Coturnix japonica: one gene and its partners. The protein of the gene in region 3 interacts with the protein of the main gene of each other region in a pairwise test. Links are inferred from orthologs where the notes say so. Each region holds a gene or a part of one and is shown on either strand. Other genes may lie near its edges. The genes, in order: HOXB9, GEM, MID2, SYT17, SLC25A48, TSGA10 and UTP25.

The links.
Region 1: the proteins of MID2 (region 3) and HOXB9 interact in binary tests that used the Homo sapiens proteins (3 or more experiments, as listed by UniProt). The two-hybrid records come from large-scale screens. The link is inferred for Coturnix japonica from reciprocal best matches to the Homo sapiens genes MID2 and HOXB9.
Region 2: the proteins of MID2 (region 3) and GEM interact in binary tests that used the Homo sapiens proteins (3 or more experiments, as listed by UniProt). The link is inferred for Coturnix japonica from reciprocal best matches to the Homo sapiens genes MID2 and GEM.
Region 4: the proteins of MID2 (region 3) and SYT17 interact in binary tests that used the Homo sapiens proteins (3 or more experiments, as listed by UniProt). The two-hybrid records come from large-scale screens. The link is inferred for Coturnix japonica from reciprocal best matches to the Homo sapiens genes MID2 and SYT17.
Region 5: the proteins of MID2 (region 3) and SLC25A48 interact in binary tests that used the Homo sapiens proteins (3 or more experiments, as listed by UniProt). The two-hybrid records come from large-scale screens. The link is inferred for Coturnix japonica from reciprocal best matches to the Homo sapiens genes MID2 and SLC25A48.
Region 6: the proteins of MID2 (region 3) and TSGA10 interact in binary tests that used the Homo sapiens proteins (3 or more experiments, as listed by UniProt). The two-hybrid records come from large-scale screens. The link is inferred for Coturnix japonica from reciprocal best matches to the Homo sapiens genes MID2 and TSGA10.
Region 7: the proteins of MID2 (region 3) and UTP25 interact in binary tests that used the Homo sapiens proteins (3 or more experiments, as listed by UniProt). The link is inferred for Coturnix japonica from reciprocal best matches to the Homo sapiens genes MID2 and UTP25.

The regions. Positions count from the first base shown.
Region 1 is NC_029542.1:3,139,299-3,143,300, reverse strand, and holds the start of HOXB9 (homeobox protein Hox-B9), read right to left. Parts: upstream 2,801-4,002; 5' UTR 2,648-2,800; coding exon 2,140-2,647; intron 1-2,139. UniProt on the Homo sapiens protein: Sequence-specific transcription factor which is part of a developmental regulatory system that provides cells with specific positional identities on the anterior-posterior axis.
Region 2 is NC_029517.1:114,171,387-114,174,040, forward strand, and holds part of GEM (GTP-binding protein GEM), read right to left. Parts: intron 1,106-2,654; coding exon 1,029-1,105; intron 538-1,028; coding exon 333-537; intron 1-332. UniProt on the Homo sapiens protein: Could be a regulatory protein, possibly participating in receptor-mediated signal transduction at the plasma membrane. Has guanine nucleotide-binding activity but undetectable intrinsic GTPase activity.
Region 3 is NC_029519.1:1,722,608-1,726,780, forward strand, and holds the start of MID2 (probable E3 ubiquitin-protein ligase MID2), read right to left. Parts: upstream 2,801-4,173; 5' UTR 2,587-2,800; intron 2,421-2,586; exon of another isoform or gene 2,316-2,420; intron 1,713-2,315; exon of another isoform or gene 1,417-1,712; intron 1-1,416. UniProt on the Homo sapiens protein: E3 ubiquitin ligase that plays a role in microtubule stabilization. Mediates the 'Lys-48'-linked polyubiquitination of LRRK2 to drive its localization to microtubules and its proteasomal degradation in neurons.
Region 4 is NC_029529.1:8,130,744-8,135,016, forward strand, and holds the end of SYT17 (synaptotagmin-17), read right to left. Parts: intron 1,666-4,273; coding exon 1,469-1,665; 3' UTR 501-1,468; downstream 1-500. UniProt on the Homo sapiens protein: Plays a role in dendrite formation by melanocytes.
Region 5 is NC_029528.1:2,878,344-2,882,391, reverse strand, and holds the start of SLC25A48 (solute carrier family 25 member 48), read right to left. Parts: upstream 2,801-4,048; 5' UTR 2,709-2,800; exon of another isoform or gene 2,027-2,708; 5' UTR 1,727-2,026; coding exon 1,681-1,726; intron 385-1,680; coding exon 341-384; intron 1-340.
Region 6 is NC_029516.1:119,380,700-119,384,199, forward strand, and holds part of TSGA10 (testis-specific gene 10 protein), read right to left. Parts: intron 2,507-3,500; coding exon 2,355-2,506; intron 1,384-2,354; coding exon 1,268-1,383; intron 1-1,267. UniProt on the Homo sapiens protein: Plays a role in spermatogenesis. When overexpressed, prevents nuclear localization of HIF1A.
Region 7 is NC_029518.1:20,186,199-20,189,698, reverse strand, and holds part of UTP25 (digestive organ expansion factor homolog), read left to right. Parts: intron 1-515; coding exon 516-604; intron 605-1,797; coding exon 1,798-2,208; intron 2,209-3,115; coding exon 3,116-3,335; intron 3,336-3,500. UniProt on the Homo sapiens protein: Component of the ribosomal small subunit processome for the biogenesis of ribosomes, functions in pre-ribosomal RNA (pre-rRNA) processing. Essential for embryonic development in part through the regulation of p53 pathway.

The DNA of each region.
Region 1 (4,002 bases), on a different chromosome or scaffold from region 3:
TCTAATATGCAGAATTAAATATTAAAGAGGAAGAAAGCTGTTAATAATTGATACTGTTAATCCTGCTACCCATCTTTTAATGGCAACGGAGGGCTCTGCTTCATAACGCATTTTTATTTGGTCGGGTTTTATTTTCTTTTATTTTTTCGGTCGCATCTCGGATCGTTAAAATCGGAGGCATTTGAAACGCGGGTATTTTATTTACTGACTGTATACACCCTCCTGAATGGGCGAGCAAATGAGGGGAGGCTCTGGCACATGGTTTCCTGCAAACCTAGCAAATAAATTCACAGATCCCGGTGCCATAACCGGCCTAGAGATTCATTATTGTGAAATACTTTCAAAAAATTGAAAGAGTCAGGGAAATGGGTGGGAGTGCTCGCTGCAAAACAGCTCCGTCTCCCAGCCCTGGCAGCCTCTCCACATTAGCCCAAATTAAACTATTATTTAAAACAAAATATGCGTCGTAACCACACGCCATAGAGAAACCACACTGCATCCTCTTAGCTCTGGTCCCTGCGCTTACTTAGGACTTAATAACATTTTCTTGGACGAGGCTTTTCTATATTGAATTTCAGGGACATTGAGCACAGAACCTGGATATTTCATTCTCTCCGACCATTCACCTCCCGCTTGCAGTTTGTTCTGGATCTCTGCCCAGCACAATAGAACAGGACTTTCTTTTTGTGTGTGTGTGAGTGTGTGTGTGAGTGAGTGTGCACGGTGCAAGCCAAACGATAGGGGAAAAAAAGAATGCCCCCGCACCATCGTGCACACGGAGGGGGGAATACACCGCGTTTTCAGTACTGTTGCTCCTACACTTGGGTGAGGGGTTGAGGAGGGGGAAGGGGGGGTTGAGATGGGGTGGAAAAACCAAAATGAAGTTAATTCACGGAATGACTGTGCCAGGGTGTCCTGCACACGCTCCGCACGCTGTACCTTTAGCGGGGGCTTTCTCTGCCCTCTCCAACCCAACACTCCGCAACAACTTCGCCTTTCATTGCTCAAACATTCGCCGCGATATTGGAGCCAAATTTCTCCCTCTCAGCCCTTTCACCTCCCAGATGGACCCCGGGTACCAACCGAACCGGTGCGGGGTGAAGACCCCCCATTCTTACACACTCAAACTCTCTTGCGTCATTTTAATAACAACAACAACGCGTATTACAAGCAGCACTAACCATAATCTTATTAAACACATCAAAACGATTCTTCATTCTGCGTTTTAGGGCTAATAAAAGAGAAACCAGGTCACTAAAAAGGCACAGGCTGAAGTTTAGCTGTTCTCCAATCTGGCTACGTTACAAATAAAGAGCTAATTAAGCTGGAAGCACTCCCCCCTCTCTCTCTTTTTAACTCAACTCGGAGGGAGTTTGGAAATAGTGATATTTCGGCTTTGGAACAGTCAGACCCTGAAGTGAGGCACGAATATACGAGTAATTGGAAACAGAAAGAAGCGGAGGCGTGCAAAAAAAAAAAGAATAAAATAAAATAATAATAAAAGAAGAATAAAAACAAAAGAAAAGGGAAAAAGGAAACCAAGCAAAACGCTCACGACAAATACACCCACGGCAGCAAAAAAACAACAAACCCCGAGGTGAAGGGGAGCCCCGAGCCTTCAATCTGCCGGCGCAGCGCAGCTCAGCGGGCACGGAAAAGCCCCCGCCGCTGTTTACTTCCCCCCCACGTGAACTTTTCCTCCTCGATTTTCCCTTTCCCTTCTCTCCCCCGACCTCCGCTCTCCTCTCCCGGCCCTTCTCCCCGCGTTTCCCCGCACTCTCCCCCCCCTCCAGTCCCTCGGTTCTCTCCACCCGCAGCCCCGCACTCCCTCACTCCCTCTTACAGCAATGATCTCCGCTGCCGGAGTCAGCGTTCTGTAGGAAGGAGGACGGCTCGATCCAGCTTTTGTCCTCTCTGGACTCTGTTTTGGTCGGAGACGACTCTCGTTTTAATATTTATTTGTATTTCCCCCCAGAAACAATGCCACCCCTCTCCCCTCCCCACCTCTCCCCTTAGGTTGGCATCAGCCATCTGAGAGTTTTCTTTAAGCCCTGATTTTAAACTTTACGCAGCATTGTCCCCTTTTATTGCACCTCCTCCAGCTTTTATACTGTTTACTTCCTCACTTTTATAACTTACTTTGATCTGTTCTGTCTTTGTCTTCGCTTCCTTCACAAACTTTATTGTCCTCGAAGCTGGGCCTTTGATTGGAAACGATCCCTTCCCTTGCAGCAGAAGTTTCTAAATTGTACTCCTGTGTTCCCTGTTTATGGACATCCCCGGGACGGCCCAGCAGCGGCTCAGCCTTAACAGATCCCTGCCCGGGGAGGGTCTCTGCTCTGGGCACTGGATCCAGCCAGCTCCGTAGATACCTGCTATCAGATGGGACGCTTTGATGTTGAATATATGGATGGTAGACGGCAGGAAGGGTACCAGAAGAATGTGGATTCAAAGGAGTCCAGGAGGCGCTGAAAACAGGAGGTTTTGGCTGAAAACTACAAGAGGGGAATTCTAGATGTTCATTGTGCCCAGCTTGCCTGGAACTCGTATATTGCCCAGATGAAAATTTAGCTGAAGGCGAGTCTTCACTTTCATGACTTATAATAGAGTCGACATAGTAATTGCTAAGAGTCCCAGAAATGGACATTCTCAGACATCATACAAAGCACGGTTCAATGAAGGGAAAAAAAAAATATATAGGACAGATCTAGATTTGTACTCTACCCCCTTCTCGAACTTCCTAGCCAACAAAGTACAGTTGGGCTGCTGTGTTGTGAGCTCCCAGCAAAATGATTGGTCAAACTTTTTTCGTGTGCCTGATAAAGCGTCAGTCTCGGCGTAAATCAATCGAAGCCGAGGGGGCTGCGCTGCGCTGTCATCCGCCCTTGCATTCCATATCAAGGATGGATTGTTTTATGTTTATGCAATGTTGCAAAACGTCAGGAGTTTAGAAAAGCCACGAAACGGGCAGAGCTGGGGCTGATATCTCCCTACGTAGATTTTGCTGTTGTTATGGAGGGGGGGGGGGTCCGGGAGGGGGTCCGGGTTTCTTTTCTTTTCCTTGTTTTTTAATGAAAGATGCTGATGTATTCACTTCGCCTTTAATAACCACCATGGGGGAATGGGAGATAAAAGCTATTCTTTGCCACTCGGGCTCCAGAGTACGATAGCAAAAAACAAAAACCAAAAGGCAGAAAATACATAGAAATCAACCCCCCCTACCCCCCCATCCCCCCCTCCCTCCGACCCGCACCCCAGTGGTTTCGTATACACACATACTCGTGTGTGCATTACACGACATGCACACGATGCGCATACAGATGCGTTTTGGGAAGGAAAAGCGAGAGTCGTGGGAGGGTGTTGTAAATAACAAACCCTCTGGCATCGGAAAATGGATGCTAACGTGGTACGATCATGGGGGCAAATATGAAATTTCAAATGTGAGTGGCATATGCGTGACATTACGGCTCGGAGCAGCGAGCTGCAGACACGATCCCCCCCCTTCCTCCCTGCTCCCCCTCCCCATGCCCTCGGCTGAGTGCTTCTATCCGTATCGCATCCAAAAACCGCTCCGTGTATGAATTCATCTTCACGTGTTTTGCGGCATAATGTCGGGGTTGCTTTGCTGGAGCCGAACCAGCGTGATTCACCACGTCGCTGGAATCAGAAACCTTCATTGAACTTTACAAGCCCGGTGAAATACCGAGCGCCACTGACTCTGCTTTGTTGCGGAGTGCCTCCGACTTGCGACGGTTAAAGAGTTTAATAAAACTTACATTAGCTTTCTTGGATTTTTATAGTCCTGAATTTATTGCCTGTGGAAAAAGAAAGGGGGGGAAAAAAAAGGGATCCCTCGCCTTTCCAGTCACGGTGTTCCCCCCCCCGCACACCTCGCTTATAGCACCGCTTGTATGTGTGCGTGCCGCCTCCCCTCCACCCCCCCGCCGCCCTCTCCCCGACGGCGTTATCGGCGATCCGACTCATTTCGGCTTAATTTTAATT
Region 2 (2,654 bases), on a different chromosome or scaffold from region 3:
TTATATCACCTAAACCTTGGGGAAATCTGCATAAGAAGAGATTCTACTGACTGAAGAGCTTGAGAGTCAACAGTAGCTTCCCCTGATATCTTTCTATTCCTATTTATGGGCTTAGGACTCCTCGGGCTCTGGGACCGTGGCACAAGCTCTTTACTCATTTGCATGAAGCAGAGTGATGGATGCTTTAGCATCTCAGAGCAAGGCACCAAGCAGATCTCTCCTGAAAGGCTGTGCAGCACCTGCCCAGGCCAGTGAAATGAAGGGTGTGAGAGAGTTTTAATTCATCAGAGTTTTTAATTCATCAACGTTTTTATCCTCATCATTTTCCTTACCTGCTACTGAAACTTCGCGGCACCTGACAAGGTCACTTTTGTTGCCAACCAAAATAATGGGAATATCTTCTTTCTGCCGAGCCCTGCGGAGCTGTATTCTGAGTTCAGAAGCTTTCTCAAAGCTTGCTCGGTCTGTGATGGAGTAGACAATCAAGTAGGCATCTCCCACTTTCATGCAGTGGTCTCGAATCCATTCTCCTTCACGCTGTTCAAAGCAAACAATCAGACACTGTTATGCCCAGACAGATTTTGCTTAGAAAATATAACATTGGAGAATCTAAACACATTCCCTCTGTAACTGCACTGGATATGGTTTGAATCACAGTTGTACTAAAAGCAATTCCAAAGTGGTGACCACATGAATACTTCAGCATAAAGGAGGGTGAAATTTGCCCCTGATAATTCATTATACTAGATTTAGATCGGAATGAACACTGTTTAGAAAATGTCTTGAATGTTTTGTCTTATCATTAAAAAAATAAAGAAGAGGTTTGCTCTTCTCAGGCTCACACTACACAGAGCCGTTAGGCGTGCTTGGTTTGCTTTGGGGAGGATATTGATCCCGTGTTTTTCCTAATGATGAAGTATAAAAAAACATATTTTCTTTCCCAAAAGATAACTACTTTTCATACTAGCCCTCATTCATGTGTACTTTTCTTTCAGCATTCAACTAGTATGTATAAATAAATGTTGTACCTTGTTATCCCACATGTCGAGCAGTACAATGGTTGCACCCTCCCCATCCACCATCAGGGTTCTTTCATATGTGTCTTCTGTAAGAGAAAAATGGAAAAGTTGGTAACATATTATTTTGTGACATCACGTACATTATAAAAAAACAAATAGCTTACTAAGTATAATTTTTTCACAGCTCAAGTTAGTGAGCCAAGTTTTGTGCTGGCTCATGTTCAGTTCTTTCCACATTTCCATCAGCACTAAACCTGCCTTCTGTTCATTACTGGTTGTCTTACTTTCCATGATATATGAAGCAGACAAAGATCAGAAGATGAGATGTTTATTATTTTCATTGATATTGTCTTTGTCTTATGTGAGAGAGAAAATAGAACCAGTGGAAGAAATAACCAAAGGCTGAACATTTGCCCCACGGGAGCAGCAGAGTCCAGTGAGGCTGAGTAATGGAAAATATTTGCTTTCACTTTAGCGGGGACAGTTTACGGGTGAACAGTCACTGCTGCTGAGAGCAATACAGCTAACAGCCCACCAAGCAAAGAGGGCACGGTTTTGTGAGACGGGAGCTGCTGAGACTGAAATGATTGCTGCATCCCATTTCTTTCCCATTTCACAGTTTCCCACATTACCTTTGATGTCAAAAAGCAAAGCAGTCAACAAACCACAGCAGTTATTTATTTTGTACTGAAACCAAAATGACCCATATCTAGATTATAAGCGCTGCGTGACTAAGTTCTGCCTAGATCTGGAGGGGCTGTTCCCACTCAATCACAATCAATCCTTGCTGTGAAATTCTCAGTCTAGTTTCCACTTCAAATACTAATTCTTCTTCCCCCCAGATCCAAGGACATTTGGATGAGTAGTGTGAGGCTCAAATCCCCCTCTAGACTTGTGTTGCTGGCCAGTGAAAGATGTTGGGCTTAGGGTTTCTCAGAATACTGAACCTTTCCCTGCACTGTGTGAGGAGTCTGTTCCAGCTATGCTTGTAGATAGGACCATGCCTTAACTCCTGCCTCATACACTTTCTTTTGGGTATTAGTGGAGTGAACTTTTCCCCAAATTGTAATCACAGGCTTTTCTCGAAGCCAGAAATCTACAACCAAGCAAAAGACTCAGCCAAAAATACTCTGTATTTAAAATAAAATCAAACACTGTAAACAAGAGCACAGGCTTGACACAGCTTAAAATTGAAGGATTCAAAGCACAAAGCTAATCAAGAGGGGCATCTGTGTTCATGAGTCAGATGAATCTTATAGTTAGTTGCAAAACTAATCCCTTGGAGCAGCTGTATTCCCCTCTGTGAATTGGCTGTCCTGAGACCATCATCTCTTGCAATAATATTTCCAGTTTGTAAGCTCAAGTTTGGATAATGGTTTCTTTGACTGATCCAGCATTGGCATGGGAACAAGATCCATCTGCACCAGAGGACAACATTTAGAGGACTACTTCTTTGTTCTCCATGACACAGCGAGAGGCTACAAGTACGTAACCACACTACTTGAAGATGTTCTGCCCCTGATCCGAATCATAGAATCATGGAAGCTTTTCAGTTGGAAAGGACCCTTAAGGGCCATCTAATTCAACTCCCTTGCCATGAACAGGGACACCTACAGCTAGATCAGGTTGGTTACA
Region 3 (4,173 bases):
CACCATCACCACGAGCTCTCCCACCCCTAAACTCCATCAGATGGCAGCACCCAGGCATCAGCTCCAATGGGTCCCCACCCAGGGTAACCCACAGCAGTGCCTGACCCACCTCCAAGCTCTCTGCACCGTGGGATGCTGAGCTCCTGCCGTGCACACACAGATGTACATGTGCATGTTCCCTCTGCTCCCACGCAGACCCTGGGCCAGCTGATGCTTGTGACGTTCCAGCTCAGCTCCAGGAAGAGCTCAGCCTGAAGTTCATTTTTTCCCCCCACTTTGGTCAACCAAACTCAGAACTGAGTTTGTATATTCAAACGCCATTTAATTTCTAGGCCGTTCCCCCCAGCGCGTGGCTGGCGAAACAAGACCCAAACGACCAGAGCCAGCAATTAATTCCCCTGTGAGACAGAAATTCCAGCAATAAATAATGGTAATGGTATTCCGCAGAGGCACAGAGCCCCTTTCATTTCCCAACCCTGAGCCACGTCATGGGAAGCCGGCGAGTCGGGCTGCTCCTGGCAGACACCCCACGATGTGCTGCGCCGTGGGGCCTGCAGGAAGCATCTCCTGCACTGCTGTAATGCACCAGGCTCAGCCCCATTTGGTGCAGCCCCAGCTGTGCACCGGGCGATGCAGTGATGCTGGGGCATGGCTGGGGACAAGAGCTCTGAACGTACACGAGCATCGCAGGGAAAGGGATGTGGGCACAAGGAGGGGGCAGGAATGGGGCATCCCAGATGCTGGGTTTGCCTGATTGGGGAGGAACCCACAGATGGATGGACGGAGCCTCCAGGCTGCACAATGGGCCATTTCCTAAGAAAGGGCAGCGTGTCCAGCGGCACAAAGGGCACTTATTCTGCCAGCCAGCAGTGTGGGAGGAGAGCTGTCACAGCCCATTGGGGCCACCAGAAACCCCTCTTAAGCCCCAAACCCCACCACCCCACACTGCAGCCCTGTCCCAGCACATCCCAGAGTTGCCACGAGGACTGTGAGTGGGGGGGATGGAGGGCCCCCCCTCCGGGGCACAAAGCCATCACATTGCTGGAGGTGACAGCCAAGGGAGGCTCTCGCTGGCCTCCATGCAGTGCCCTCTACTTGGGAAAAGGCAAGCTGGGGGCAGGCCGTAGCCTGCATTATTTGGAGGGAGGAGAAATTTGGCAAGAGCTGGGCACGGAGTGCAGCACAGCGTTGGTTTGGGGGTTGTGGCATCTCCGGTGAGGCGGCACAGCTGTCACCCTGAGGTGTGACACGGCTCCGGGGTCAGGAGCTGACCCGAGAGGCTCAAAAAGAGAAACCCCCAACCCCTAAAACCCCACATTCCAACCACCCTCTGCCGTGCAGAAACCCACAGCGTGCTGGAGAACGCGCCCCCCGCCGCCCCCCACCACCAAAAGGAGAGATGACCCCGATACAAACCAACGCAAAGTCACCGACCCATCTCACGCGCTCCGGGGCCGATCCCATGCCGCCTGCCGGCACACGGACAGCAGCACACGGATCCGGAGCCGTACGCTCGGAGCTCCGGAACCACACCAGCACCTGCCCAAGCCAAGGCAGCTTCCTTCAGCCTTCCTCCTCATCGCTGCGTACTTCCCATGGGCGGCCTCGAGGAGCCCAAATCCCTTCGTGTCGGCCGAACCTCCCCCACCCCGAGCGTTCTGCGGCCGAGCGAGGAGCGCTCTTTAGAACGGAGGGGGGAAAACCCGAACCCGGAACGCAGCAAGGAGCACCTGCAGCCGCCCGGCAGCGCCTCCCGCATCTCACGCCCCGCACAAACCCCGCAGCGCTGCGGGACCCTCCGGGACGGGGGGTTGGGAGAGGGAAGAGGGCAGCGGGTTCGGGCACCGTACGGTGTTGGGGAGCGTCTTATAGAACTCGGCGCTGCCCTTCGGGACCGGCAGCACCGCACGGAGCTCAGCGCAGCGCCCGCGATGCCCGGTGCGCATTTCTCCGCGCTCCGCCGCGTTTTTGGGAGCCGGGAGAAGAGCTCCTTTCACCGTCCGCTTCCATTTCAACTTCAGCGGGTTGGGGGGCAGCGGATCTCACGGCCGAACCCCGCCGACCGGCTGCGGCAAAAACCGGCACCCCCCCACCCCAAAACATTACATTACATTAAAAAGGCAGCGGGACGGTTCCGGGGGAAAAGGGCCGGCACGGAAGCACGGAGCCGCCCGCCCTATAACCGGATGGCGGAGCCCCATAAATCCTACAGGAACCCCTAAAAAAAGCCCAGGGCGGGGCTGCAGCCCCCCCTAACCTCCTCTTTATTTCCCTGCGGTGCCCCCACGCGATCTCGGTGCCCCCCTTCCCCTTACCAGCGGGCTGCGGCAGCCTCCCCGCCGCTGCCCGGGCATCTTGGAGGCGGCGGCGGTGCGGGGGAGACGGCGGCGGCGCGGGCGGGCGGCGGCGGAGCTGCGGGGCGGGGGGGGAGGGAGAGGCGGGACCGAACTGCTGCCCGCCCCGCCGCCCCCCACCGCCCCGCCCGCTCCAGGTGAGGCCGAGCCGGGCCGGGCCCGACCGCCCCCGTAGGGCTGGGAAACGAAGGGGAGATCGCAGCAGCGGAGCCACCGCGCGCCCCATCCTCACCTTAAATCCCTCTCCAGCACCGCTCAGCGAGGACGGTTTTCCTGATTGCAGCCGAGCCACATCAGCCCTTATTGCATATATCCATGCAGAAAACAAGTGGCCCCGTCGCAGCCCTCCGCTCGCCCCCCAGACCATTTCCCTATGGGAGTGCTGCCTGGGCCCCGCGCTGAGCTGCCGGTGGCAGAGGTGACCCTGGGCCAGCAGGCACCGAGTGGCGCTGCGTGGAGCCGGCAGGGCAGCTCCGTGTCAACACAGCGACCGCTGCGGGGTGAGTCACATTCCGTAGGGATGAGGAGATCACCCCCGGCTGCCCCACGTCTGGATGTTTTGGAGTCACCCTTCCCATGTCGGTGCATTTGGGTCAGGAGGTTCCTTGCTTTTCACACCCAGCGTGTTGCTGGGAGCGGGGGGGTCCCGGTGTGCGTTAACATCCACATCCCACCAATGGGAAATGAAGGTGCTTCAGTCACACCGCGGGCCTGGGGAGCTCTGTGAGTAACTAACAGCTCTAAAGCACGACTCGCCCTCTGACATCTATTCTTATGGTGGAAAAAATATATATACATATAAAATCCTTTTAACATCTGAATCCCTCTTCCAGAGCAGCTCTAGTGATGAGCAGGGCCAGATGAATTCCCCTGATATCATCACCTTTTCTTCTTGTGTTTCGGTGGCTTCGTGCTTTCCACGTCTCCCCAGCACCTCCCTCACCTGCTGCCTGTCGCTCTCTCCTCCTTTGCCGCTGCTCGGGGACGGGCAGTGGATGCTTTGCACCACCTCATGTTGAGCTCTGGAATTTCACAGCCCGCTCCCAATTTCCTATGCTGAGCAAACCGTGGAACAGCCGGAACAGGCTGTGCTGGCTCAGCACCCATTGCCCAACACCTCTCTGGGGATCGGTGGTTTAGCCATGCGCTTCCATTTCACCATCAGCATCTGAAGCAGGTGTACATCCCTGTGCACAGCTCTTGCAGGAGTGGCAATGGGCTGCGTTGGCAGCACTGTGCCTGTGTGTAACCCCATCCTGCTGTCTTCCACAGGAGGGAAATGCTCGCCTCTGCTGGGAGCTGGCATGGGATGTGGCTTTCAGAGAGCCTGCAGCCCCCTGAGGGAGCAGCATGCAGTGCTATGTCTGATGGAGGGCTGTAATGCCCTCAAGACCCCTCCCAGCGTACCCACACTCCCCAGCCCTGCGCTCCTGCAGGATGCTGCAGGGCAATCTCTGTGCCTTGCCAAAGAGAAACTGGCTTGCAGCAGCCACAACAGCCCCACGAGACCTACCCTGACCTTACAGAAACATTCCCACCCTTCCCAGCTCACTCAGAACAGCCCTTTTGCATTTACTCACATCTCCCACTGGTTTCAACCTCAGGTACCAGCAGGTAAAGCACACCCAGCTGTTAATAATGGAACAAATCACACATGTATTCAGTAAGACCTGAGTCTGACTTAGAATGAAATCAGTAACATTGCTCCCAGAGTGCTGAAGACCTGCACTTTTCTCCCATCACCTACAGACCTCAAAATACTTAAACCCTTCTTTCCTTCCCTGCCCTCCTCTCTTCCTTCCTTCTTTCATCTCTCCCT
Region 4 (4,273 bases), on a different chromosome or scaffold from region 3:
CTTGGGAACACAGTCAGCACTGTTCCCTTCTAATTCTTGGCAACCAACCTAAGTTTACAGCTTTTTCTGGGACTGCAGCAAACCCTTCTCTCTTGTGGATGCCATCCCTTCAATATAGGTTGTGAATGGGCAGAAAGCAAGACACAGATTCTCCTACAGCCACAATGCTGGTTTAAAATAAATCAATCTTTTACAATCTGTGATAAGTTGAGGGCAGCTCCTGCAGAGCACAGCGACCCACAGCCCCATGCAGACACCACACATCAGACTCCATCTCTTCAGGGTGCTCTGGCAGGGAATGCACCCAGCAGGAATGGGGCTTTTGGCCACCAAGCAGGTAAGTCCGTGCCAGCTTCAGCCCTGCTCCACCAAAACAACTTTCTGCAGGTGAACCCAGAGAAAGGCCAGCTCCAGCCTTCCGGTTTGCCTTTACTTGCACCATAAACATAACTGAGCTCAACGCAAGAATTAATTCTGCTAACAGTTACCACCTCAGGGTGTGTGGCACAATTAAATAGATTTTTATTGTCAATAAATATACAACCTGCATCATACCAGACAATATGCCGTGGAAAAAAAATAATAATAGTAATGTACAGAAGCAACCAATGGGACAGTTTGACCACACCTACGTTCATGTGCTGACCTGGAAAACTACCTCAGTAAACACACACAACACAGAAGGAGTCACTGCAGTCTATCAGGGAAGTAAAATTGTGCATTGGGGGCATTCTTAACTGCAGAAGTCCCCACAGCAGGTTTCTTTTGCACTACATCAGGTAGGACTGAGAAGTATAAATGCTACTGGAGACATTTACTCGCTATATCATCACAGTACCTATTGGACGCACACAGACTGCTATGGAGAGTGGCAGACACTGCTGCTGGCAGCATGTCGGCCCCGCACAGCAAGGGCTGCATGTGCTGGCCACGAAGTAACAGGAGCTTAATTCTGTTGAAACAAGTACAAGGACAAAACTGGAGCCAGAATCGACTTCACCACAGCTTCTACCATTTAAAAAAAACATCCTAGTCTAATTATGACGTTCACCAACAAGAGCACACAGGTACGTATATCTCCTAGAGGACGAGTCATGGATTTGGATCATAAGGAGAGTGGACACAACTCAGAACTCTTCCCCATCTTGGCATGTCCAGCGGCACCTCCACCTGCCACCTGCTGCTCTGACACTGAAACAGCAGAGCGGTGCCGGGCGCGGGGAGCAATGGGTCCGGCCAGTCAGGCGGCCGGTGCCACCGAGGAGCTGCTGGCACAGGACCTGGCAGGACATGGTTGGCTGGTGCTGCAGAGGTTTGCACAAAGGCCAACGCAGCCAGGTGGGTACTGGCAGCTGCTTCAGTCCAATGGAGCTGCTGTGGGGTGGGAGTGAGGTTGGGTGATTTGGAGGTTGGAGTTTGTTCCCTGCCATGCCCGCCTGTTCGGTTCGGCCGCCGCAGGTGCCAGACCTCATGTCACCTCCAGGGATGCTGGGGAGACGCGGTCACATTCCTCCCGTGAGCGCAGACTGTGCCACTGCTCCACAGCCGTCCGGTGCGCGTTGAGCATCCGACGCCAGTGGTTGGACTCGGGAGCACCTGTGGAGTACTGACCGATGACGATCCGCCCAATGAAGTCATTGCTGCTCTTCACGTTGTGCCCATACACTGTGGGAAGCAGAAACAGGGACAGATCAAGGAAAGCATCTTGCTCAGCCACCCCGAGCACTGCAGAATGTGACCCCAGAGGATGGCTGTGTCCTGTGCTTGTGCCACCCCAACACATGAGATGTCAGTGACATTCTGAGGATGTTTCTTGAAGAGCTTTTGTGGAAGGTTTAACCAGGACACTGGAATTTTTAGTGTGCAGCTCATCAAGCCAAGAAACAGGCTGGGCAGTTTGGAAGGAATAAAAGAGAAGTTGTACTCAGATTTCAATATAATTGAAATAAACAGGACCTACAAATCCACATTGCTATTTAGCAAGAATATGGTAAACAATTATACCAACTAAAGAAAGGCCAAAATCTTTGTCCAAGCAAATCAGGATGCTGAAGCATCCAGACAACAGCCTTGACTTGGGTAAATGAACAAGAATGACAAGGATGTCATCCTCCAAAGGATCTGGAGGATGATTTTTCAAACACAAACGTCAACGACCCCTTGTAATGATAATCAGTATCATTCCCAAATTACAGATACGAATCTCACACACACGGACTGTCAGTGGGATGCTTATACAGAACCAATTTTCTGTAATTATAACTTGTTAAAAGGCCAGGGAAGTAACCAAGGAAGAGACGCAAGCCTAACGCCTGTCCTTTGTGCTAGCCCAGCCTCGTGGAACAAAGCTGCAGACAGCTGCGGTTGGTAATTATGGGCCTGATGCTGGCCAAGGCTGCGTGTCCTGTTGGACAGGCATAAAAGCACCTTGTGTTTTGAGAAATAAAGCCACAGCTCATTAGGAAGTTGAACCAAAAGTCTACAAAAGCTGAAGCCAGGATAACCGCAGGCACTGGCTGGAGTACTAAAGATTAAAACCTTTCCCATGAAAGAGGAGGACTTCTAAGAACAAACGCCTGCAGGGGCTCCAGGACCCAAGCAGGTAGGTTCAGGGCACTAGCACAGAACAGCACGCTCCCTCTGCAAGTAGCAGCACCCCTCAGCACTGCATCTCAGCCTGTGCTTGAGATGCTTTTTCTTACCAAACGACCTGGGGCTATCTTTGGGAACAGCAAAGCTCTGTTCTCATGGCCACCATGAGCCACGCAGGCAGCTTCGTGCTACTGCAGCATGCCCAGCACACCAGTCCACTGAGTGCTGGCTCAGCCCTCTCCACACCACAGCACCTTTAGCCACACAAGCAAAACCTTCATGTCCCCCACTTTAGGACATCTGTGGCTGCCCAGGTTGTCCCCATTAGTTCCCAGAGGTGAAGCCACCAGCACCTGGAGGCACATCTCCAACAGGTGCTGGTGTCCTGAGGGCAGCTCTGTGCTGCCTGGGGAACTGCCTCTCAGGCTGCAGTAAGGAGCTGTAAGCCACCCATCCCCACCAGTACACAGCCTGCCAGTGTTATTTATGGGCTCTCACATAAGGGAAGAGATCACAAATGTGGTTAGCAATAGTTATGCCAAACGGCCTGCTACAATTTATTACCCTAGCAAAAGCAAACATGATAAAATCACATAAAAGCGCCCCCAAATCAAATGCTTCCCCGCTTTCTAAAATACAGCCGTTTCTTCCCCACTTTTTTGTTTTCCTTTTCTTTATTTCATGCACATTAGAGGATGAAGCTTAATCCTGAGCGACAAAACCATTTCAAACCAGGAAGTCCTAAATGCCACCTATTACTCACAGCTTAAATTAGCAGAGGCAAAGTATCCCAGGAACACCGAATCTTCTGACACAGTCCACAGCAGGATCATAAAACACAAAGGTGCATTAAATGCAGGGGCCATTTGTTTTAGCATTGACTCAAGCATTTTGAATTCTTATAAGGTAAAGCACCTTGCTGGAGGTGTTACTGCTAAATAGAAAAGGCTTTGTCATCCTAATGGAGCTGTCTGAAGCCACAGGACTCATTCCTCATCCCTTCTGGAGAACCTGACCTCTATTCTCATCCTGTCAAGTAATTAGTATGCTGATTCCTTCAGGGTATTAATGTGCTAATTACACAAGCATTGTTGCTTCTCTCATTAACTAATTTCGATAGCACAGAGGTAGACTGATAGCTGAAGAACAGGGTGGAGGTTTCCCAAGGCTGAGCACTTGCTCACAACGCTCCTGCAGACCATAAGTGACAGCACCACATCCAGCCCAGCTGGGTGAACCTGCAGCCTCCCCAGCCACCAGCACCCAACGCTGCAGGCCTGATGCTGTCAGCAGGGGCTCACAAGGTGCCCAGGGCTGATCCAAAGAGCAGCTCCACGTACACTCAATCTGCAGGAGGAGGGCCCTGGCTCTCTACTCCTGCCCCAGGCCACATTAGCTGGCCCTCAGCACCCCTCCAGAGCCCAAGGGGGAGCTCTGAAGAGATCACAGGTTAAACACACTCCCACCAACTCTGCAGGGCTGCTCAGAAGCAGAAAATAGGTAATTATCAGCTGGGTCTGTTGGGCTGACCCACTCTGGTTACAGGCAGTAGACGCTGCTTTCCTGTTAACAAAGTGATTTTCCTGACTGAACCTACACACCTGATCTCATCGGCTCTCTTTCCACCATTGCAGCAATTTACACAATAGCAACATTCATTTCCAGGCCAACTTGGAGCAAA
Region 5 (4,048 bases), on a different chromosome or scaffold from region 3:
CACAGCACACTCACTACCTCTTGAATGCTTTTCAGGTGGCAAAGTTCAACTGAACATTAGCAGAACTGTTTGGTAAACCCAACATGATGTAAGGCCAGTTTTACTTTTCTGTATTAATCCCCCACCTGAGGAACCCGCACACGTATAGGGCAGCCCTTTGTGCCACTCCAAAAGAAAAGAGGAAAAACACTCTGGTCTATGACAGCCTTTCTACCCAGGCTAAGTTCTGCCTTGCAGCAATGGGAAAAGCAAAGGTCTTTGCAGCATCACCCTAAAGGAGCCCACCTCCCCACCTGAGACTTTTGGGGTGGTGATGTGAGAGCAAGGATCAGTGCTTTACCTTGACAGTGTCCAGGGGATGACCCACAACCACACTGGCAGCTCCTGGGGATGAAAACAGAGAATTAAGCAAGATGATGATGAACTTTTTGCGCTGCGATAGGAAGCAATGGGCTTGGATGGTGACTAATTTGTGCTGCCTCCACACCTGCAGGTCTCAGTGCAAACCTACATCCCCTTTGCTGGGTTAACATCAATCCTTTAGTGACCTTGGGAATTTCTCACCTGTAAGGTGGTCAGACTAAAAAGAGCACAAAGCTGTTAGTCAACACATTATGAAATGATGAATGAAACACTAAAGCATCCCCCCTGTCCCAGACCTTGACCTGAGACCACCTTCAGCCCAGTGTTATACATGAAAACTCACACTGGATATTAGGAAAAGCATCTCCAAAAGAGCAGTGATGCAGTGGCACAGGCTGCCCAGGGAGGTTGGGGATTCTCTGTTCCTGGGAGTGTTCCAGGAACATAGAGATGCAACACCTGGGGACATGGTCAATGAGCATGGTGGGATGGGTTGGGGTTACACTTGGGGATCTTAGAAGTCTTTTCCAACCTGAATGGCAGCTGAGTGCTGGTGGCCATTCACCTGTGATATCCTGCCCTGTGCTTAGGGTATACATCAACAGCACAAGACCAGCACAGAGCATTCTGGCAGAGATTCTAGTTGTATTAGATTGTCCTGTTTAACCCAGTGTGGCTGCTCGGGGTCTGTGAGCCACCTCACCCCCCTGTCCTGAGCCTGGCGTCAGCACAAGGCTGCAAATTGCTGTGAGTGCAGCACTCAGCCCCACGCCCTGCCCATCCCCACATGCTTTGCCACCTGTCACATTCAGCAGGAACGTGAAGTTCGGAACTCTCAGACACAGCACAGCGCGACCGTCCCGACAGCCCTTTGCCTTTCCTTTCTTTTCTCTTATCTCTATTCCCGACAGCTGCGATCAGCATTTTTTCTCTTTTTTTGCAAATCGGGTCATTGCCCCGTCCCTCCCCGCTGCCTGTTTGCTGCACCTGGAGCCCCGGGGCACCGAGGGGCACTCTCCAGGGGTGTGCGCGGCTGCGGAGTGCGGGTTGGCTGCGACGGGACCCGGCCGAGCACGGGCTGCTACCACCGGACCGCAGCCCACGGAGCGGCGTAGAGGCAGCACCGGTGTCCCCGTGTCCCACCTGAGGGTGAGCAGAGCGGTGCGCCGCCAAGATGCTGCTGCGGCTGCTTGAACTTCATTACTTGTTCTTTGGGAGCAAAAAGCACGCAACTCCATCCCCCCTCCCCCCAACCCCCGGTCCGACGCACAGCTCCCACATGCCACGTCTGCTCGCCCCCAGCCCAGCAGCACTCACCGCCCACCCAGCCGGCGGCGAAGTCCTGGAGCTGGAGGCTGCCCATATCGAGCCGCTGTAGAAGGGGACCCTGGGGGGGTCCCGGCGGGGCCGGAGCGGACGGCTCGGAGCGGAGCCCGGCGGCGGTGACATCACGGCCGGGGCTTAAAGGCGCAGAGCGGCCGCCCCCGCCCTACCACGGGCCCGTCCCGTCGGGAGCGGCCGCTCCGGTGCCGCTGCCAGGGCCGGGAGAGGTGGGGCCGGGCTGGGGCCGGTCCGCTCTCGGCTAAGCGGGGTCAGATGCAGCGCTCTCCTTTTCACGGTGGAGCTGTTAGGGCCGGGAGCCGAAAAAGCAGAATCGCTCCTTCTTGAAACAGACAGAAGTTGAGGGGAGTTTCTTGAAGGATAAAACCAAAGATTGTTGGGGGATTGTTCTATAAATACCCCCAAATTAATGGATTTCAATGGTGAAGAGCATCTCTCGCTGGTTTACCGTTCCTTTGAAATCTCCCTGCTGTTTTTTCAGGAGATGCACCCCCTTCCCTACTTTGAGAAACATTGAAGAATCTCTCCCCAGCTCCTTCTTTCTTCACAGCATTCACAATTTCCTTAGGTCCCTATTCTCCCTCAGCCCTGCCTTCATTGGATTCCAGAGCCCAGCTCTGTTATTTTCACTCTCTAGTTTAGCTCACCCTCCCCCAACATCTCCCTGAGCAGTGCAACAGAACCATGGAAGGAACACACCAGGTTTTAGTGTTTTGATCTCAAACCCTTCCCTGATCATTCCCGGCATAACTTTGACTGATACTGAAGACTGAACTCTCCTTCCTGAATCCCTGACTTGGAGCCCAGCCTGGCTATTTCACCTCCTGTGTCATTAAAATCTCATGTCTTATGCCAGAATAACATCCAGATGCTCAGCAGCACTTCTGCTATCCCCTTGCTTCTAAACCAGATCATCCTTGTGCTCTCCTTCCTTTGACTGCAGGGAGAATGACTTGCAAAAGATGCTTTGGACCTTCCCCATCTTATGTACACATCTGTCTCACCTGTAATTTATGACAGCCTGAAGTGCTTTCTGTTCTGCAGGAGTCAGATTGCCACAGATAGCAGCTCCTTGGATCAGTCCTAGGTGCTTCCTGAGAAGAATGGTATCAGGTTCCTATTGCCTTGCTGGAATATTACATTGTTTTTGTCAACAAGTGTTTTGTCTGCATATTCTGATAGGTACATAGGTGGGTAGTTCATAAACAAGAACTCCTGAACACCTAAATAGTGCCTTAAAATATAATATTATATAAAATATAATGAAACTGCCAGTGAAAGAATTAATATGTGAATCTGCACTGGAATAATCATCATTTTCCACAGAAAGATACGTAACAATTCAAGCTGTCCTTACAACAACATTCCCTTCTGTACATGTGCATTGGAAACACAATCGCTGGGTTGGCTGAAGGGAGCTTTTGCCTACAAACTGCTTAAAGGGATTCAATATGAGGTGTGTGGTTGTCAGCTCTGATCAGTCTACACCCAAAACCTGAGATGCATCAATGTGCAGAGCACCACATGCCCCCCATGCAGGGGCTGCTCCCCATCCACCCACTCAGCTCTGGGCCATGTAAATGTCAGAGACAACACACAAACTCATCCATTGTTTGTTTCTTCAGATGATTTTGCTTTCTTCCTTTGAGAAGAGATGGGATCCCATATTTGCAGTTATACAGGATGTTATCCTCCTTTTCCATGCACATTCTCTCACAAAGCCAGAACTGGCTGACTGAGCTAATTATTCAGATCACAGCAGCATTAATCATCAATCTCAGCAATTCTCTTTAACACCAAGCAACACGTTTCCACGCCAGATTCAGAACATCTGCTATCTCAGGCAGAACACTGGACATGATCTTTGTGCTGAAAGCTTAACTGAAAGCAAATGTTATGAGGGCTTCAGAGTAACTCTCCCAGCCTGGAAGAGCAGGATGGGGTGGATGCCGGGAGCAAACAGCAATGCTCTGGAAGATGTTCCTCCAAACAGACTCAGCAGCCTGCAGGGCATTTGAACTCTTTGCAATACCCAAAAAGCCCAATAAATCAGCCCTAAAATGTACAGTCATTTGTGCATAAGCTCAAAGTGCTTGATATTCACTTGTTAAAACAATTGGCAGCTGCATATTTGTCCTCAAAGATATTGCAGGCTGCAGCCAAGCAGTGAGCAGAGCAGCTCATGGCTGTCCACAACCAGACAGCATCAGGGTCGGTGCATGCAGTTCACAGCTGCCACAGGCTCTGCTTGTGCTGACAGCACTGTTGTATGGAGAGCTGCAAATGGAGGCAGATTTTTGCTGCTCTGAATCCCAGCCTGGCTCTGCAGCTGCTCACAGGAACA
Region 6 (3,500 bases), on a different chromosome or scaffold from region 3:
TGAGATTCTGGAAAGTTCAGCTTCCAAGAACAAAAAGGCTGAAAATATGCTTAGTTTGGACACATTTCCTGGGAAAGATTAAAACATGCAAGATGCCCCTATCAAACATTAAGACAGTACTTCACTATGTCATGGAACCAGAAATTTTTAACATGATATGTAGATTTTAATATGGACAAAATACCTTTTTTTTTTCCTCAAGGCTTCTCAGGAGTGGCTTAAACACCTTAGCCAAAGCATTCAGAAGTTTAAATTTGCTTTGAATGAAATTCTTATTTGAGTTTTAGAGGTTTAGAGCTGAGTAACCAGAGTTTAAAAGTTGTAAGTAATGAAGATATTTTATAGCTGTATTTTCCATACTGCATCTAACAATACATCATGTCAGCTGGATCTATAGAAAAAAATAAGACTTCAGGCACAATGCATTTGTATTTCTGGAAGTGGTAATTCATTCTCTGGCAAGCTAGGAGTAATTCCTGCATTTCTTCCTTCAATGCCTTAACAGAAAAAGGGTACAACATTCCATATTTTAGCCTGGAAAAGAGAAGTCTCAGGGGAGACCTCATGGCACTTTACAACTTCCTGAAGGGAGGTTGTGATGAGGAGGAGCTTGGCCTCTTCTGCCAGGCAACAAACAGGACCCGAGGAAATGGCCACAAGTTGTATCCGAAAAGGTTTAGACTGGACATACAAAGGAACTTTTTTTCTCAGAGAGTGGTCAGGCACTGGAATGGCTGCCCAAGGGAGGTGGTAGAGTCGCCATCCCTGGCAGTGTTCAAGAAGCGCCTGGATAGGGAGCTAGGAGACATGGGTTAGGGGTTTTCTGTAGGTATGGTAAAGGAAGGACGGTCGGACTAGATGATCTTATAGGTCCTTTCCAACCTTGTGATTCAATGATCCATACGCTGCATAAGATGTTCTCCTGATTACATCATCATCTACTGATGCTGAGAGGTACAACCACCAACCTAGTGGATCACAAATACAGCTGATAGGCTCAGACACAGCACATTAACATCAACATACATTGTTGAAACAATAGTATATGTAGCGATCAAAACTTAGAGCTTTCTTTATATAATTTTAAAATATAAAAGCCTTCCAACAATGAAAGAAAATGGACTTTTTACATGAAACATTAACATTATCACAGTCTATTTATTTGTTTTCAATAATTTTGTTCTTTTTACATATTATAAACAAAAGAAAAACCTGCAACATATTTATCCAATTGAATTTTATTAGAAAAACTGTATCTGTCACTCACCAATTTTTTCATCCAAAAGCCTAATTTTCTCTTCATTAAGTTGAATTTCATATTTTTTCTTAGTAAGGCTTTGCTGTGCCTCTGAAAGAATCTGCTCCGTCTTTTCCTTCATTAGACTAAAAAGGAAGATAATTCAGATATTCATATCAGACTTAATTCCTTTTTGGAATGCCACTAAAATGGCAAAAGTTAAGTAAAAGCAAGATACTTCCATTTATCTTAGACTACTGAGGATATTTTATCAACGTTAGCCTTAATCTCCAGACATTAAATCTAAATACTACTATATAGAGTCACAGTAAAGTAAGATTTTTTTACAACAGAGAGACCAAAAAATTGTTAGAAATAATTGCAATAAAAATCTCTACTTAGAACACACATTGGAATTCTAGACCTATTTTAAGTTGGTTTTTAATAGTAGCAACTGATCTTCAAGAACTCTGTTTTTACAGTATTCATAAATCTGACAACTTGTAAAAAGCATTTCTCATGTGCTTGATCTTCCTCTCCAGCCACTAAAGGGTCCTTTTCATCAAGACCTCACTGACCTATGTTTCTTCCCTACAGCTTTACTTGAGTCTAGTCCCACTTTATGTTTCTTAACATGGTTAGGAACTCTGGTCAAGCAGCAGTTGAGGCCAAAAATTCTATGCAAGGCTTCAGTTTTATTTCTGCTCCTACAAAAACTGCAAGACTAATAAATGGATGTTTGAAACTAACTCAACACGAGACTCATTAGTTAGTGCTTGTTTGCTCGTCTCTTTAAGAACAAAGGAAAGGAAAATGATTTTTATATATTTGTAATTAAAACATAATTCATCAAAACACATCAATTGCTGCGGCTTCTAATAGGAAGTTCCTAATCCAAACCATTTTGCTTTTTCACTGAAGATGATATTCTTTATATCATAATAACAAGTCAACATTTTACATATAAATAAGCAATGGGGGAAAACATTTTATTCCAGAACAGAAAGATGTCTTACAAGCACAACTGTCATAAGTTCTCATCCCTTTGAGCTAAATGGAACCCAAAAAACATAGGCTGACACTACTCAAACCAATGCAATTAGATACTTTCACTGACCTCAGTGAAATGTATTCATCTTTCTGGTGGCTTAGTTCATTTTCAGTGTCCTGGGATCTTCTTGCCAATATTTTTACCTCTGTTTCCAGAGAATCAACGTGTTCTTTCATTAGAGTCATTCTGGACATCTGCTCTAACCGTTCACTATCTAACTATAAATACAATTAAACATTAATTAAACAGGAAAAGCTGGAATAAAAAGCTGATTTACATATAGATGCCTATTTACTCAAATGTCCAGTTTAAGGAAAGCTGTATTCGATTACTGAAACATTCACACTTTACATTCAAAGTATTTTCCTTTGTGAATGAAGGACTAGTTTCTGTGTTACTATAATAAAAGTCAGATTGCTGAAGATCAAGTCAATTAGCGCTTGGTATACAGCGACTTTCTCAGTATTACTGCCATAAATTTCATACTGAAGTATATTGCCCTCAAAGGATATCAAATAAACTGAAGAAATAAGACAAGGCTATTCCTGATAGTCATTATGCTTCATACATCAAACATAAGATTAAAGCTGATCTGCCACTCAGAGTAGTCAGCAGATTGTTCATTACAAATGCATTCAATTTAATATTATAACTCTTATAACTGCACTTATATCCTTGGCAAAATCTAAAAGGCTGAAAGGGAGAAATGAAAATGAACAAAACCTATAACCACAAGATCTAGGAGAAAGAGGTACTATATAAATCAATGCTTATCTATTTTAAATCAAGTTGTACTAAGACTGCAAATACAATCAAGAACTGCATTCATTTTATTAATGCTTACATTTTCTATTTGTATCTATCAGCTAACAATTGCACATTTAAGTAACTGCTACTGGATAGAACAGTATAATTACATTTTCTTGTGTGGAGTATCAAGTCTTAGTAACATGCAACCATAAGACAATCCAGATTGCAAGGCAGTCTCCAGTTTAAAGCCCTGGACAAAGTAGCTCTGAAGACAGCTTGCTCAGGGTTTTATTCAACCAGTTCTTGAAAATCTCAAAGGCTGGAGACTGCTTCACTGCTGTTGTATTCAGACTGAACACTCCTTTTTCCAACTTATGACTATTGCTTCTCATTATTTGCTACAATCTAAGTAAATGACATACACTGTTCTCCCCTCATTTCTTCATAGAAGTCATTTAGGTT
Region 7 (3,500 bases), on a different chromosome or scaffold from region 3:
TCTGCTTTATCACAACCTGTGCTCATGTCACTGCCCAGCAATGCAAAGTCTTCAACAGAACCATAAATTGAGGGCATTAAGCTCACTTGAGTCTTTACTGTTGACATTCCACTTCACCTGCAAGGAGTGGAAGCGCTAACTGATGTTTATCAGCATCAGAGCTTCAGGCAGAATATCACTAATCTTTTCTACTGCACAGTGCTTTCCTGTCCAACATTTGTTTTGGGATTTAAACTTTGAGTACTTTAGTAAGTGCTTTTTCTTTCCCTTCATTCCTTTTTTATTTTTACTTTTTTTTTTTTTGTTATAGGCAATCTGTCAAATCTGTTCCATTTTTATGGAGAGAATTCGACATCCTTTCTCTTGTCACCCAGTGCTTTGAAATAGCTGGTTGGAGCTGCAGTGTTGGCCGGCAGAAAAACTGTCCATATCGCTTGCAAATCTGTTCTGAAACTTTTGATCCTGCCATTAGCTGCGGTAGTTCTCAGGACTTTGTTATTTCTGTTTTAAAACAGATCCCTTTAAACAGCACATGGACAAAGAACTCGAAGAAAAAGAAGTAGAAAAAATATCTATGCTATCGAAGACTTCAAGTCAAAGCAAGGTAATGTTCTGTAGCAAGACAGAGTTTCTCGAGATGCTGGAATAAAAATACCTTTGTATACAAGTGAAGTAGTTTCATTTTGTTATTAGGTATTGGCTCTGGAGTTGTCAAGGTTTTGTCACTATTGCTGGTGAAGTGTTTCTTCTTTGCTTAATGCTGAGAGAGAGTTGAGATACAAAGTCTTCTGATATGTCAGCATATGGTGACACGTCTGAAAGTCAGAGCTTTTGAATTTGCTTTGTAGTCATGAGATCGAAGTTTTGGTGCTACTCTTGGCACTGGGTGGAAGCAGGGCTGATCTCTGGGTGGTGGCGCTGGGGTGCAGCGAGGTGCACTGCAGCTGAGTTCCTGGGGTGGCCACACAGAGTCTCAGCAGTGCTTGTGATGCACCTTCGTGTTCTTGATTCAAGGTGGTTCTAACTTTGTACACACTTACAAGAAGCTAAAGAGGAATTCGGTACTTTAGTTAATAGTGGCAGTAATATGCGGGAATAAAACCAACTCATTATTTGAAACAATGCTGTTTTTCAAAATATTCTTTTTAGACAAACTTTTGCTTCTTAACTTTCTCACATCTGATTTTGTTTTGGAGCATTGCCTCACATTCTGGTCACCCATATGTTGGGTGACATTCCTTGGAAGATACCCAATGGTGATGCAGTCAGAGCTAACTGGGATATATATTTTTTTCCCTTTTTTCTCTTTATTTATTTATTTATTTATTTATTTAATATGGTGGTCAGAAATACCAGTGCCACCTAAAGCATTGTATGGCGTATCTTTGCTTAATTTGATGCAGCCACATTATAGAAATAGAATGGGATTTGTGTGACAGGAGACTTAAAGGCAAGAGTTTTTTCTTATTACACTGAAAGGATTTGCCTATAAAATCAGTGCATTGGTGTGACTGACCTGCAAATGTCAGTTGGATTCCAGCGCTGGCAAAACTGACATCAGTTTATTCACCTGCAAAATGGTGGCAGTTGTAGCCATATCACTGCAAAATGCATCCAGATCTTGTGAGCTGGAGTTAGATGCTAAGAGACTGCTTATTGAAAGAAATGTTTCAGCTTTTATTATGAAAAGATAACTGCTCTAATTTCATGACATTGATTAAACAAGCTGTGATAATGTGCTTTAAGTTGTACTGGGTCTGCTCCATTTGACTCTTCTGTTTGCTTTTTTTCCTTCAGTGGCCAAGGCTGGGTCAGCTCACTTTCTCATCCTCTTTGGAGAAACAGACAACTTTAAAACCAGTCAAAGAATTCAATGTGAAACAGCTTTATCTTCACAAGACTTTAGAGTCCACTTGGCCGAAAGTGAATAAACATTTCTTGACCTCAGGAAACAAACCAGGTGATTCCTCTTTCACCCCATTACAAAGAGAGCTCTTCTGTATCATGAATACCTACAGGGACTTGTTCTATCCGGAGAGAGATGCTTTAACAAATGGAGAAGAAATCCGTCATGTTTACTGCTTACATGCCTTGAACCACATTCTGAAGGCTAATGCCCAGGTGCTCAGCAACAATGCCAAAAAACGTGACCAAAAGCCAGGGACCGACAGTGACGACTACAGGGATCAGGGGCTCACCAGACCTAAGGTGAGAGTGCTTCAGAAATGCGATTCCCTGCCTGCTTTGGGAGTCTGGTCAGACTATGAAAATGTCTGAGCAGTTTACTGGAAGGTATTTCTGTTGCTGCTGTTACTTGATGTGTTGCAAGGCACGTGACTTTCCACATCTCTTTGGTTGTGCCTGGAAGACTTTCTGCCTCAGAGTCCAAAGTATCGTTGTGCTGGGGCTCATGTCATTAATCCACAGCACCCACTGGTTAATTATCAGGTAGATTCAACTTGGACTAGTCTGCCTCTTGTTGTGCCAACTGTCTGCTGAACAGTTTCAAGTCTGGGTTTCAGTGTTTTCTGCACTCCTGACAAAGGCTTGCTTTTGGTTTCTGTGTTGACTTTCCAGGAGTGCTTTGCAGAGGTTGTTGCCATCCATTCAGGAGCCAGACTTTATCCTTGTCTGCATGCTGAGGGAGCTCATGTTTGCTTGGGGAACTGAGAGAAGCGTGTGCTTGTAATTGTGCTGGGTATACGAGATGGAGAACCAAACCGAACTTCAGGCCCCTGCATGTTTGTGAGCACACTGTTTGCCAGCATGTTCTCTCCTTGCCATATGTTAGAATTAGGCTTATTCTGCTTCCATGCGGATCCATTTGTATCTGTCTTTCAGAAACAGATCAGTGAAGTGCAGTAAGGAAGTCAGAAGCTAGGGGACTGTTTGAGGGCAGAAGTACATGCCATGGCTGCAGGGTTTAGACCTATCTGGGAGGTCTTATTTTGTCACGTAGGCACAGTGGTTATGTCAGGGAAGGAGGGTGATGCTTGTTTTGATTGCTGGGAGGCCCAAATGTGGGCACTTCAAAGACAAAGCAGTTACTTAACATGCTCAGCTGTGGATATTGATGTTTTTTGGGTTGTTCAGTTGTAACTGTTGATCTGTGCAGGTGCTGATAATAGTGCCCTTCCGGGAATGTGCTTTGCGAATTGTGCATATTTTCATCAGTCTTCTTGAAGTGAACGAGAAAAGAAAAATAGATGTAAGTAATAAGAAGCGCTTCAAAGGGGAGTTTGGTTCTGACCCAGACGAGAAGCCCCCCAACCTGAAAAGACCTGAAGATTATGAAGCCGTCTTCGCTGGCAACATTGATGACCACTTCAGAATTGGTAATGACCCACAGAACATGAGTTTTGCTTATAAAGAAGTGAGGGGTAATCTAACAGGTTCTTCCTTAATGTCTGGGAGCCATCGGGGCTGGTGAGAATTGGGGCTCTGAGGTATTTGTGCTGTGTCTGCAGTGGCATCATGAATACTTCTGAAAATATTCCATT